Linked DNA regions of Diceros bicornis minor. The protein of the gene in region 2 purifies or fractionates together with the protein of the main gene of each other region. This does not show direct contact. Links are inferred from orthologs where the notes say so. Each region holds a gene or a part of one and is shown on either strand. Other genes may lie near its edges.

Evidence for each region. Proteins that work in one complex are often made in the same cells at the same time.
Region 1: the proteins of OTUD1 (region 2) and AIFM1 purify together in Homo sapiens (affinity purification with mass spectrometry; 3 studies listed by BioGRID, with this or other methods). This does not show direct contact. The link is inferred for Diceros bicornis minor from reciprocal best matches to the Homo sapiens genes OTUD1 and AIFM1.

Annotation. Positions count from the first base shown.
Region 1 is NC_080781.1:118,854,638-118,860,206, reverse strand, and holds the start of AIFM1 (apoptosis-inducing factor 1, mitochondrial), read left to right. Parts: upstream 1-1,851; 5' UTR 1,852-1,962; coding exon 1,963-2,068; intron 2,069-5,569. UniProt on the Homo sapiens protein: Functions both as NADH oxidoreductase and as regulator of apoptosis.
Region 2 is NC_080775.1:22,913,182-22,918,750, forward strand, and holds OTUD1 (OTU domain-containing protein 1), read left to right. Parts: upstream 1-1,516; 5' UTR 1,517-1,883; coding exon 1,884-3,326; 3' UTR 3,327-4,579; downstream 4,580-5,569. UniProt on the Homo sapiens protein: Deubiquitinating enzyme that specifically hydrolyzes 'Lys-63'-linked polyubiquitin to monoubiquitin.

The DNA.
Region 1 (5,569 bases), on a different chromosome or scaffold from region 2:
ACTTTGTATTTAATCAATCCATCTTTATTATTGGCTTTTAGAAATAGCAATAGATATCCATGTCTGTAAGACCTTTAAGATATTAAATAAATATAAATAATTTTTACCTTATTGTGGAATTGATATTTTCAATATTTATCCCCCAAAGCATCCCTGGGTAAAAAGTCACCCATCACCTGCACTTCTGAATATTAATCTATTCGTAACGAGTAAGGGAACCCTAGGTCATTTTCACCCAATAAAGTCTGTTTCCTGGGTTAAACTTCCCAAATAATGCCTTTGTAATTTCATTCTCTATCCCTAATCCACTAAAAAAAATAATAACTTCATCATCTACAAGATTAGGGCCAAACTCTTTTGCCAGTTCAAATCTGGCCCCACTGTATTAACCTACCTTTATTTACTTGCTGCCATTGTCCCCTGAAAGTGTGCTGGGTTCTGTTTGTTTTATACCTCCAAGCCTTTTAATTTAAACAGCATGGTGCTTCCTCTAAGATACTTTATAAATATTAGTTCATTTAATCTTCATAACAACTCTTTGAGATTGGTAGATGAGGAAAGTGAGGCACAGTTAAGTGACTTGCCCAAGCGGCAGAGCCAGGATTCAACCTGAGGCAGACAGGATCCAAAGTCAACGGTCCTTAACCACTGAAAACATTATCTTTGGTCTCAATGTATTCACCATCTGAAATATCATTCCTCCTCCTCCACTGTCTACTTGAATTTTACTACTCATCCTTTAAGACAGCTCAAGTAACACTTCTTACATGAAGTCCTTCCTTAGCTATTCCATCCCATACTCTGTTCTCTTGCTCTGGCACTACATCAGATATTATTTATTATTTAAATAACCAGTATATGTCATCTCCCCAACTGGACAATGACCACTTCCTATACTTTTCAGATGCCCCCGAGCCCCTTTCATAGTATAGGCCAAGTAGTAAGTGCTCAATAAATACTTGTTAAATGAATATGTAACCCAAAACCTTGAACAAGGCACGTTATGTTTTGCATACAGCGAAAAATTTCTTTCCAATTTAGCTTACATTTGATAGAGTCAAAACACCTATTTACACTCAGCCCCTCATCCTACTCCTCCAACTCTGCAAGTTCCGCTTAGGATTTCACTCACAGAAAGTCTGTGAAACACGAACTCTTTTTGCCAGGATCCTGCTCTCAAGCACGGAAGCCCTAATAGTAGAAGACTATTCGCAGCACCTGGTACAGCATCTAGGACACAGAACTGCACAATATAAAAGCGATATGGGAAAAGAGAGCGCGGAATGATTACTTGTCCCGGAAACAGGGGTTGGGTGGGAAAGTGTCAGCAATTTATAAAAGACAGAAGCCCATTCCGAATCTGGGAAGACAGGCGCCCGGGCTCGGACCTATGGAAAGTCTAGAAGTGGTTCAAAGCCAGAGAATCCGGAAATCTTAGGGCCTAGTAGCTAGTGGCCTAAAACAGAACAAAATGCGGTGCTGGGGCCACACCTCCCAAAGGTGCTGTTATCAGTTCTCGCCATCGATACAGCCGCAGCACCGGCCACAACCGCCAGGTAAAGCGGCCCCACAGGTCCCTCCTTGGACAGCTTTCTGAACTCGCTCAGCGAAACCCGTTGCCACCAACCCGCGAAAACTCGCAAGCAATCCCTCTCTGGGCCTGTGCAAGTGTGCCGGGAGCTGGGCGCATGCGCAACTCCTCTCACCGTGCAGGCCAATCGCAATGCGGTGCTGAGTACTACGCCTGCGCAGTAGGCCTCCAGTCGCGCTTCCCCTTCCCCTGCTCTAACAGGCCGGCTTAACTGTCCAATGCCCACCCGGAGCTGGGAGGCGGAGCCTGCGTAGAGTGCGTGTGAAGGGAGAACTGGCGGGGAGCCGGCTGGGGCCCACGGTGTTTGACCCGTCGGTCGGTGCGGGAGACGAAAGGAAAGGAGGAGGAGGTCCAGAGTAGCGGTTGCCGAAATGTTCCGGTGTGGAGGCCTGGCGGCGGGTGCTTTGAAGCAGAAGCTGGCGCCCTTGGTGCGGACAGTGTGCGTCCGAGGCCCGAGGCAGAGGAACCGGCTCCCAGGTGACTGACTGACCCATCCCGGGCAACCCCCACCTCGAAGACCAAGGGCCTGGGCTCCATGGGCTCCCTGTGCCTCACAGCCATCCCCCCACCCCCCGGGAAAAACTTCACACACTCACAGTCTCGTGAATTCCGACTTGGCGGGATCCAAACCACGAGTTTCATAAGCCATGCTGACCTGACCTTCAAGGGAATTGAACCCAGTAGTCGGCTTGAGGCCTTTTCCTGGGAGGGTTTGTTGTTCAGGGATAACAGAACAGCTGGCTGCCTCGTATTGTCCAGTGCCACCTCCTGGCCATCCCCAGGCCCCTTTTTAGAGCCATGAGGTCAAGTAGACTGTCATTTACCGATTGTGAGACTTTAAACAGGACATTTAAGCCCTACACCTCAGTTCCTTCTGTAAAAGAGGATATTACCTACTCTACCTTCCAAACCCCAGATAGGATCCATAGATTTGAGAGCCCTGTGAAACAGAGACAGTGCAGCGCAAGTAAGGAGTCGGTCTGTTGTGAGCTAGACACCAGGAGAGTTGGCCCAGAATTAATTTGAGATGTCAGTGTAATTCTTGGTGGTCTTGAATGCTTCCAAGAAACAGTTTGCAGAACATATTGTATTTGCCCTCCATGGAGTTGTTTCACCCAATTTTAGAGCTGGAAGGGATTTTGTGGTAAAGTTCAACCCACTCATTTTATAGATAATAAACTCAGGCACCGAGAGGTGAAATTACTTGCCCAAGGTCACATAGCTAATTAATAGGTACAGCAAAGGATAGGTTGCCAGTCTCTAGGCCCTTAATCCCCTTGCCACAGCTCCACATTGCTTCCTAAAGTTTGACCTCAAAAGCTTAAGAATGCATCTGGTTCCCTTTAGCCCATTGTGCGTCAGATATCCACGAATTTATCTGAGCATATCTTGAGCCTGCTCATTGTCAACCTACACAACCTCATGGGAGTAATGAATTATCCACCTGTAGGAGGTGCTGTTTATTTGGTTTTTGTTTTTGTGGGGTTTTTTTGATCAATAATCTTTGACCACCCAAGAATATTCACATTTGCAATGTCAGAGGTTATCCTTGAGGCCTTTCCAATGTGGAACCATCTTCTGGGTGCTTTAAAAAGTGGAAAGTATTTCCCTTAGATTGTTAGTGTCCTTGCAAATGTGCATTTGAACAGTTTTTCTAGTTGCTGTGCCTCAAGAAAATGTTTTCTAATGGGTATATCTGAGGTATGTCCTAAGACATATTGTTCTTGGAACTTAAAAACCCCTGCCTTAGCTTTTAAATTAATACCCTGTCTATGATGTCATCTGTATGGGTTTTGTGCATTGAAATGATGGTGCTCTATGCAAGTTGCACAGAAATTTACACAGAAACTTAGGTAAGCTGAAGATTTTCATCCACACTGGCCTTTCAAACTTTGTGTACTTAATTTGCCTAAAACTCACACTTTTTACCAGCATTCTGAAGTCCGAGCAAAAGTTCTCATCAATTATATGTGGATTTGCAAAGTTAAATTGATTTCTTAGACGTTTGAAGGTGGTTGGTGATATTTAAACTACTGAAAAATACAGACTCAAAATGTTTTTTTCCGTTGTATGACTTTGTTTGAAGGCAGTCTGCTGTAGAATATATTCTGACTTCTTGACGTATCTCTCCAGCTCTTTGTATACACTTATTCTTTGCCCTTTGGCCAAGCACCAGAGTATAACATCATATGATGCCTTTAGAAATGGGTGAGGGTGGGGTTACAATTTCAAAAATAAATGATTCTATCATTTTAGGAATTAACCCTGTTTTGTGACTTGATTACTAATTGCTTTTAATCTGATTTCTTTTTCACATGGTAGCATCTACCATATGGTTTTTGCATGGGTGGGGAAGAGGCAGTTTGTTTATATGCCGTTTCCCCCACCATTTTTCCCTTCCTCCCCCCCAATTCTTTGCCAGGATGTTAGCAAACTTTAAACCTACCTTGAAACTGATTTCATCCACATCTGTCACCATTTGTCAGGTTCATTTCCATTATATGTTACCTTTTGCCTTAAAATCATAATTGCTACTATTTGTTTATTTACTTTATTTGGATGCTCTGCCTCTTTCCAGAAATGATTGAAGGTAATTAAGAGTCATGACTTTATGTCTGCATTCAACACTGAGGAGCGGATAGATCAGGAAATAGATATTTTCTGCTCAGTAGTATTTTATTTGGTCACCAGACATTGTGCTGCCTGTGTGATCAAACTTATCACCGACCCCTGACCTGAGGGTCAAATGATTGAACATTTTTCTCTATTCAGAATCCTTCTCACCTCCTTAAAAAGGAAATTGGACTCCTTGTGGGCAAGGATCCAGACTTCCTGGACACTGCCAAATGACACTTCTTTCCTTTGAAGCCGAGAAGATGAGCCTTTGCCCACTCTTTCTCCTGAGGCAAAGCTTTCCAGAAGAAAATCTTTGGCAAGTCAGCCTTTTCTGCAACCAGTTAATATGTTATATTTTCTAGACATTTTCTAACATTTTAAGGGAGTTGCTTCATATTGTAACTTTCTTCTAGATCATGTTTCTAAAAGTTGCCTAGTTGTATAAATCGAATGGAGGGCCAACCCCAAAACCTACTGAATGAGAATCTCCAGGAGAGATCCTTGAGAATTTATATATTAACAAGCCCCTTGATGTAATTCATATGATCAGGCAAGTTTGGGAAATACTGTTTTGAATGAATAATGACTCTTTCCCTTCTGTTCCACTGACCTAAGGGTTGAAAAAACAGACTGAGCAACCTTAAGTCTCTTGTGATTTGTATCAAGCCCATTTTCTGATATTCAGAATAGTAGCAGCCATTCTTCCCTCCTAAGCTATACACTACCTGAGGACAGGGATTATGTCCTATTTATTTTTGTGCCCTCAGCATTTTTTTTTAATCTTTTGTGTGTGTGTGTGTGTGTGTGTGTGTGTGAGGAAGATCAGCCCTGAGCTAACATCCGTGCTAATCCTCCACTTTTTTTGCTGAGGAAGACCGGCTCTGAGCTAACATCTATTGCCAATCCTCCTCCTTTTTTTTTTTTCTTCCCCAAAGCCCCAGTAGATAGTTGTATGTCATAGTTATACATCATTCTAGTTGCCGTATGTGGGACCCGGCCTCAGCATGGCCAGAGAAGCGGTGCGTCGGTGCGCGCCCAGGATCCGAACCCTGGCCGCCAGTAGCGGAGCGCACACACTTAACCACTAAGCCACGGGGTCGGCCCTGTCCTTAGCATTTTGTACAGTCTCTGGCCCATAGTAAATACTCAGAGAATGAACCCCAAGTACAGTGAAGGACTTAACTTTGCAGAACAGGGTTAGATTTTTTTTTTTTTTTGTCATCTAAATCATTTTTCCTCTGGTGCCTTTCTTCAGAGTGGTTTACACTGTACTATAGTTATTACTACTCTGATTCTTCTAAAATTCCAGCAAGGGTTGATGCTAAAAAAAAAGGCTGATAAAGGTAAATAGTTGTTGGAGTC
Region 2 (5,569 bases):
GATTATTTTATTGTTAATTGTCTTGTCTTCTGTTTCAGAACACCAGCTACCGAAAGGCTACAGGCAGAGTTCAGTGCATTTAATACGCAGAGCAACAGATACCCCCAAATCAGTGATGAAATCTAAGTAATTCCCTTTTTCTAGTTAGCCAATGGCGGCTACAAGCTCCCAATAGGGTGTCACCAGAAGCTGAAAAGACGGTGAGCCATAAACTTAGTTGTCTTACCCCCTCCTGTGCTGACATACCTTACAGGTTGGAGTGGCCCATGTAAACGGCTGCCGCTGGGATCCTGCCAGTAGTAACCCCCATGGCAAATACAAGCCCTGGCTAGGGTCAGGAGACGGATCATAATTCTGGCTTCTCCACTAAATGAGAATACTTGGGAACTCGTTTTCCATTAATTAATTCGTTCAGCAAATATTAATTCATTCCAACTATGCGCCAGGAACTGTGCTAAGGACATAACTGTGATAGCCAACAGGCCGAGGTCTTTCCATTGCTGGAATCTGCATTCCAGCGGAAGGGTCGGGGGAGGCATATACCATAACCTATGGCTATTTCCCCACCTCTAAAACGGTGGAGTAGGCTTTAGGTTCAATTTAGATAGTTAGGGCCTGCTAATTTAGCATCTGATCAAAGCTTCGAGTATAGCACAAGCGGGCCGCTACCAGTCAGCACGCCGTTGCTCGTGCGAATATTGCAGCTTTCCTTTACACAGCGGGTACTACTAACACAGCTCGGCAGAACTGTTGTCAACATGCTACCCCGCCCCAGAACGCAAACCCGACTCGCTGCTCTGCCTCTGACCTGTGGTTAGCAGCCACACCTATTTTCAAAAGGTTGGAGGCGGTATGGTATTTGGTATTCCGAAAGGCTGTTTGAAAAATTTCCTTTGGCCCAAATCATGTATTTGCTAGTCGACATGGGTTAGGGGTGCAGGAAAGTTGGTTTCAGTTTAGCAGGGCAGCAAGGTGCTGGGGAGGATAGGTGGCGTCAGGCGACCTTAACATTTTGACGTGGAACTGAATCAAAAAGACGGCACTGGTGAAGAGAAGCAGGAGCAGTGGCTCCCGACTAGGCAGAGGCCGTGCAGGTTTCAAGGCAGCGCTCCGTCCGCCACACCGAGCCTGGAAGCTTCTTTCCAAACGCACGCTTTCAAAGCATTCTAGCCGGCCCTAGGCAGCGCCCACCCCGCCACTATCCGCAGCAGAGCGCACGGCTGCGCGGCGCCCAAACCTGCAGCAGGGCTGCAGGAAGCGGCCAGAAATCCCGTCACTGCGCATGCCCCAGGGCCATCGCGCTCTCCCGCAGGTGCCCCGCCCGCCGCCAGCGCCGCGGGCCACGCCCATGACGTCCGCCGGCCGGGGCGGGGCCTGGGCCTGGGGGCGGGGCGAGGCGCGCGCTTGAATGGGGCGCCGCGACGAGCCGCACATTCCAGCGGGCCCACGTGACGCTGCCGCGCGGCCTGAGGTAAACAACCGCGGCCCCGCCTCCGCGCCCCTCCGCGCGCCCTGCTCTGCTCCTCGCCGGCGGGACGCGCTCCAGCGGGGCGGGCGGCTTCCTCCGAGAGTCCCCAGCGGCCGGCGCGGGCCGGAGCAGCGGCAGCGGGCGCGGCGCCCCGGGTCTGCGGGCCGAGCGCGCCGGCCGGGGTCGAGCGCGCGGCCCCTCCCCGCCCTCCCCCCGCGCGCTGTGGCGCAGCAGGAATTTGGCGGGGACCCGGGCGCTATTTGCGGCTCTTGACGCGCCGGCGGCCCTCCGGTCGTTTCTATTCTCGGGGCACTGGGTCACTGCGCTCGGCCGGCCCCCTCCCCCGGGCCCGGAGGGTGTGTCCCCCGCAGCGGGGCTCGCCGCGCCTATAAGGGGCCGAGCGGCGGGCAGGGACATGCAGCTCTACAGCAGCGTCTGCACCCACTACCCAGCCGGGGCCCCGGGGCCCACGGCCGCAGCCGCCGCGCCGCCCGCCGCCGCCGCCAGCGCCCCCTTCAAGGTCTCTCTGCAGCCGCCCGGCCCCGCCAGCGGCGCCCCGGAGCCGGAGACCGGTGAGTGCCAGCCCGCCGCGGCCGCCGAGCCGCGGGAAGCCGCCGCCGCGCCCGCCGCCAAGATGCCCGCTTTCTCCTCCTGCTTCGAGATGGTGGCCGGGGCCGCCGCCCCCGCCTCGGCCGCCGCCGGCCCGCCCGGCGGGGCCTGCAAGCCGCCGCGGCCGCCGCACTACACGTCCACGGCGCAGATCACCGTGCGGGCGCTGGGCGCCGACCGGCTCCTGCTGCACGGGCCCGAGCCCGGCGCCGCCGCGCCCGCCGCGCCCCGCGGCCGCTGCCTCCTGCTGGCCCCGGCGCCCGGCGCCCCGGTCCCGCCGCGCCGCGGCTCCTCGGCCTGGCTCCTGGAGGAGCTGCTGCGGCCCGACGGCCCCGAGCCCGCGGGCCTGGACGCGGCCCGGGAGGGGCCCGACAGAAACTTCCGACTGAGCGAGCATCGCCAGGCCCTGGCCGCCGCCAAGCACCGCGGCCCCGCGCCGCCACCGGGGAGCCCGGAGCCCGGCCCCGGCTCGTGGGCCGAGGAGCGCCCGGCCGAGAGGAGCTGCCGGGGCTGGGAGCGGGCCGGCGAGCGCGGCGACCCCCCCGGCGCGGACGAGGCCCGGCGGCCCGACCCCGAGGCCGAGGCGCCCCCGGCCCGGAGCGTGGAGGCCGCCCCGAGCGGCGCGGCCGAGGCGGTGGTCGTGGCCAGGTCGGATCCCAGAGACGAGAAACTGGCCCTGTACCTGGCGGAGGTGGAGAGGCAGGACAAGTACCTGCGCCAGCGGAACAAGTACCGCTTTCACATCATCCCCGACGGCAACTGCCTCTACCGAGCGGTCAGCAAGACGGTGTACGGGGACCAGAGCCTGCACCGCGAGCTGCGGGAGCAGACGGTGCACTACATCGCCGACCACCTCGACCACTTCAGCCCCCTGATTGAGGGCGACGTGGGCGAGTTCATCATCGCTGCTGCTCAGGACGGGGCCTGGGCCGGGTACCCGGAATTGCTGGCCATGGGGCAGATGCTGAATGTGAATATCCACTTAACGACTGGAGGGAGGTTGGAGAGCCCCACGGTGTCGACCATGATTCACTATTTGGGCCCGGAGGATTCCCTAAGGCCTAGTATTTGGCTGAGTTGGCTCAGTAATGGACATTATGATGCGGTGTTCGATCACTCCTTTCCCAATCCAGAGTACGACAGTTGGTGCAAGCAGACTCAAGTGCAAAGAAAACGCGATGAAGAACTTGCGAAGTCCATGGCCATATCCCTATCCAAAATGTATATCGAACAAAATGCATGCTCGTGAAGTGTCTGAAAACCTACACCCTGGGAGAATTGCATACGTAATTTGTGTTTGGAGAATTATATGAACTCGAATCAGGGTAATAGCACTTTTAAACTTCCTAGTAGATTTACTGTAGGTGTGATGCCTTAATCGTTTTTTTGAATGTTTTCTCAGAGCTGAAGGTTGCTGGGCACCTAAATGAGGTTTCATGATAGCTTTGGGTGATCTTATTGCTATTTATAATTTGCTGTATAAAGTTGGCACTACATAAGTTGCAAGCTGATTTCTCATAGTGTAAATTTGTTCATTCCTGGTAATCTATTTTCTATAAAAATGTATTTTTGCACAACATTTTTAAAAATTGGTGTACCTTCACCTATGATGTGTTCCATTTTGACAAACAGCTTTCCGGCATAAATCCAGAGAAGTGCTTTATATGAAGTTTATTATTTTGAACAGAGTTTGTGAATTTAGTAGTTATTTTATGTTGTTGAATTTGAATTTTGCAGTTCTTAGGTAATTATTTCAAATGGATATTGATGCATTCGTGTTACCAGATGATAGGCCCATTCCATTTTGATGAAACAAACAGATTTGTTTTGGAAATCATTATTTTTCTAGAAATGGTCAACGTTTTAAAGAGAAATACTTAAGGGAAGGTTGTGGGAAGAGTTCTTTTTTTTCTTTAAGGGATAGTACCAGCTCTTACTTGAATGAAAGTCTGATATTTGCTGACAGCAGAGTGATTATTCTGTACTCTGGTTGATGTTTAGAGTAGATTGTCTGGTGCTTTGAATTGTTTTTATTTATATTTGTCATTTTGTTATAAATGAATTTTAACATGGTCGAAGACTTTGTGACAAGATAAGCCGCCTGCTTTATATAGCATCTTGGATTCAACTAAGAGATTTAAAAATTAATAGCGTAAATGCCTGGAACCAACCTTGGCAGTTATTTTATAGCAGGAGAATACTGTCTTAATATTTTGTTCCTTTTAAATTCTTTCAGAAGGCAAAGTAGGATTGCCCTGTATTATGTACAAATAAAAATGTCTGTAAACAGAGCTTGTATGGTTTGCTGGGTCAAACAGTGTTCCCAATTGAAAATATCTCATTTCCACTTTAACTACTTTTAGTCATATTTATTAAGTAATGCAGTTTGTACTTTTTTATTTTGTAACATTTTGTGATTTTTTTTGTACAATATTGTATTTGTACAATAGAGCAATTCTCAGCTGATGGAATGAATGAATAAAATGCATAATTTTACTTTTACGTCTTTTTGGCTGAAGTGGTTTTTAAAATATAAAGTGACGTCTGTAGGAACGTTTCTTACATGTATACAATATTTTATGTGAGAAGATGTCACAATTAGGAGAGAGGTTTCTTAAGTTCTCACATGAACAGGATAGGATAATTAGTAATTTCAAAAGATAAGTCTCAATGAAATATAATTTAAAGGAGTAACTCAGGAAATTGCTCTCATTATTTCTAATTATAATTGCTATCTAAAATTACAGATGTAACCATTGGCTAATGAACAGGGAAGTACAAGTATTGTGTTAACTAACACAATGTGTAATTAAATATCATAGTTTTGTGTTCCACTCGCAGAACAGATTTTAATGTTTTAAAGAGTAACCAATGCCCTAATTTTCATCCAGTCTGGCTTCCTGGGAATTTATTAATTTTAATATGTGTTATCAGATTTAGTTGAGAATTGTACCTGTATATGTAATGCTGAGTGTTGTTTATTACAGACTAGAAACAGCTAGTTTGGATTTTTTACTTTTCAGTTGATTTAGATGTCATGGTTATAGACACCACTGAGCTTGAGTTCATTGCTTAACTGCATTTTTGGAAGGATGCCATTGGTTATCAAGGAAAGAAAATTTGTCAAAAGTTTTGTTAACTAGTCGTGCATCTCTGGTGTTTTAGGTAACATAAGGTTTGCTTCGTGGCCTCACAAGTTATGTAACTTGGGAAGAAAAATTCTCTTGAGTTACCTGGCTAAATATGATTCCTTCCCTTTTCTCCACTTGATTTAGAGCTGTTTAATTAAAATTTGGGGATGCTTAAAATTAACACAAGAAATGAATAGACTAATTACGTACAAGTTCCTAACAGGCATTCTATAAGCCCATTAATGTTTTGAAAAAACAGGTTCCTCTGTGTTCTGTTTGCTTTTCAAATTAGGATCCCAAGTCCTTGATTTAGATTCTCAAGGGTGATGTGTTTAAATAAAATGAGATGGATCCTAAGATT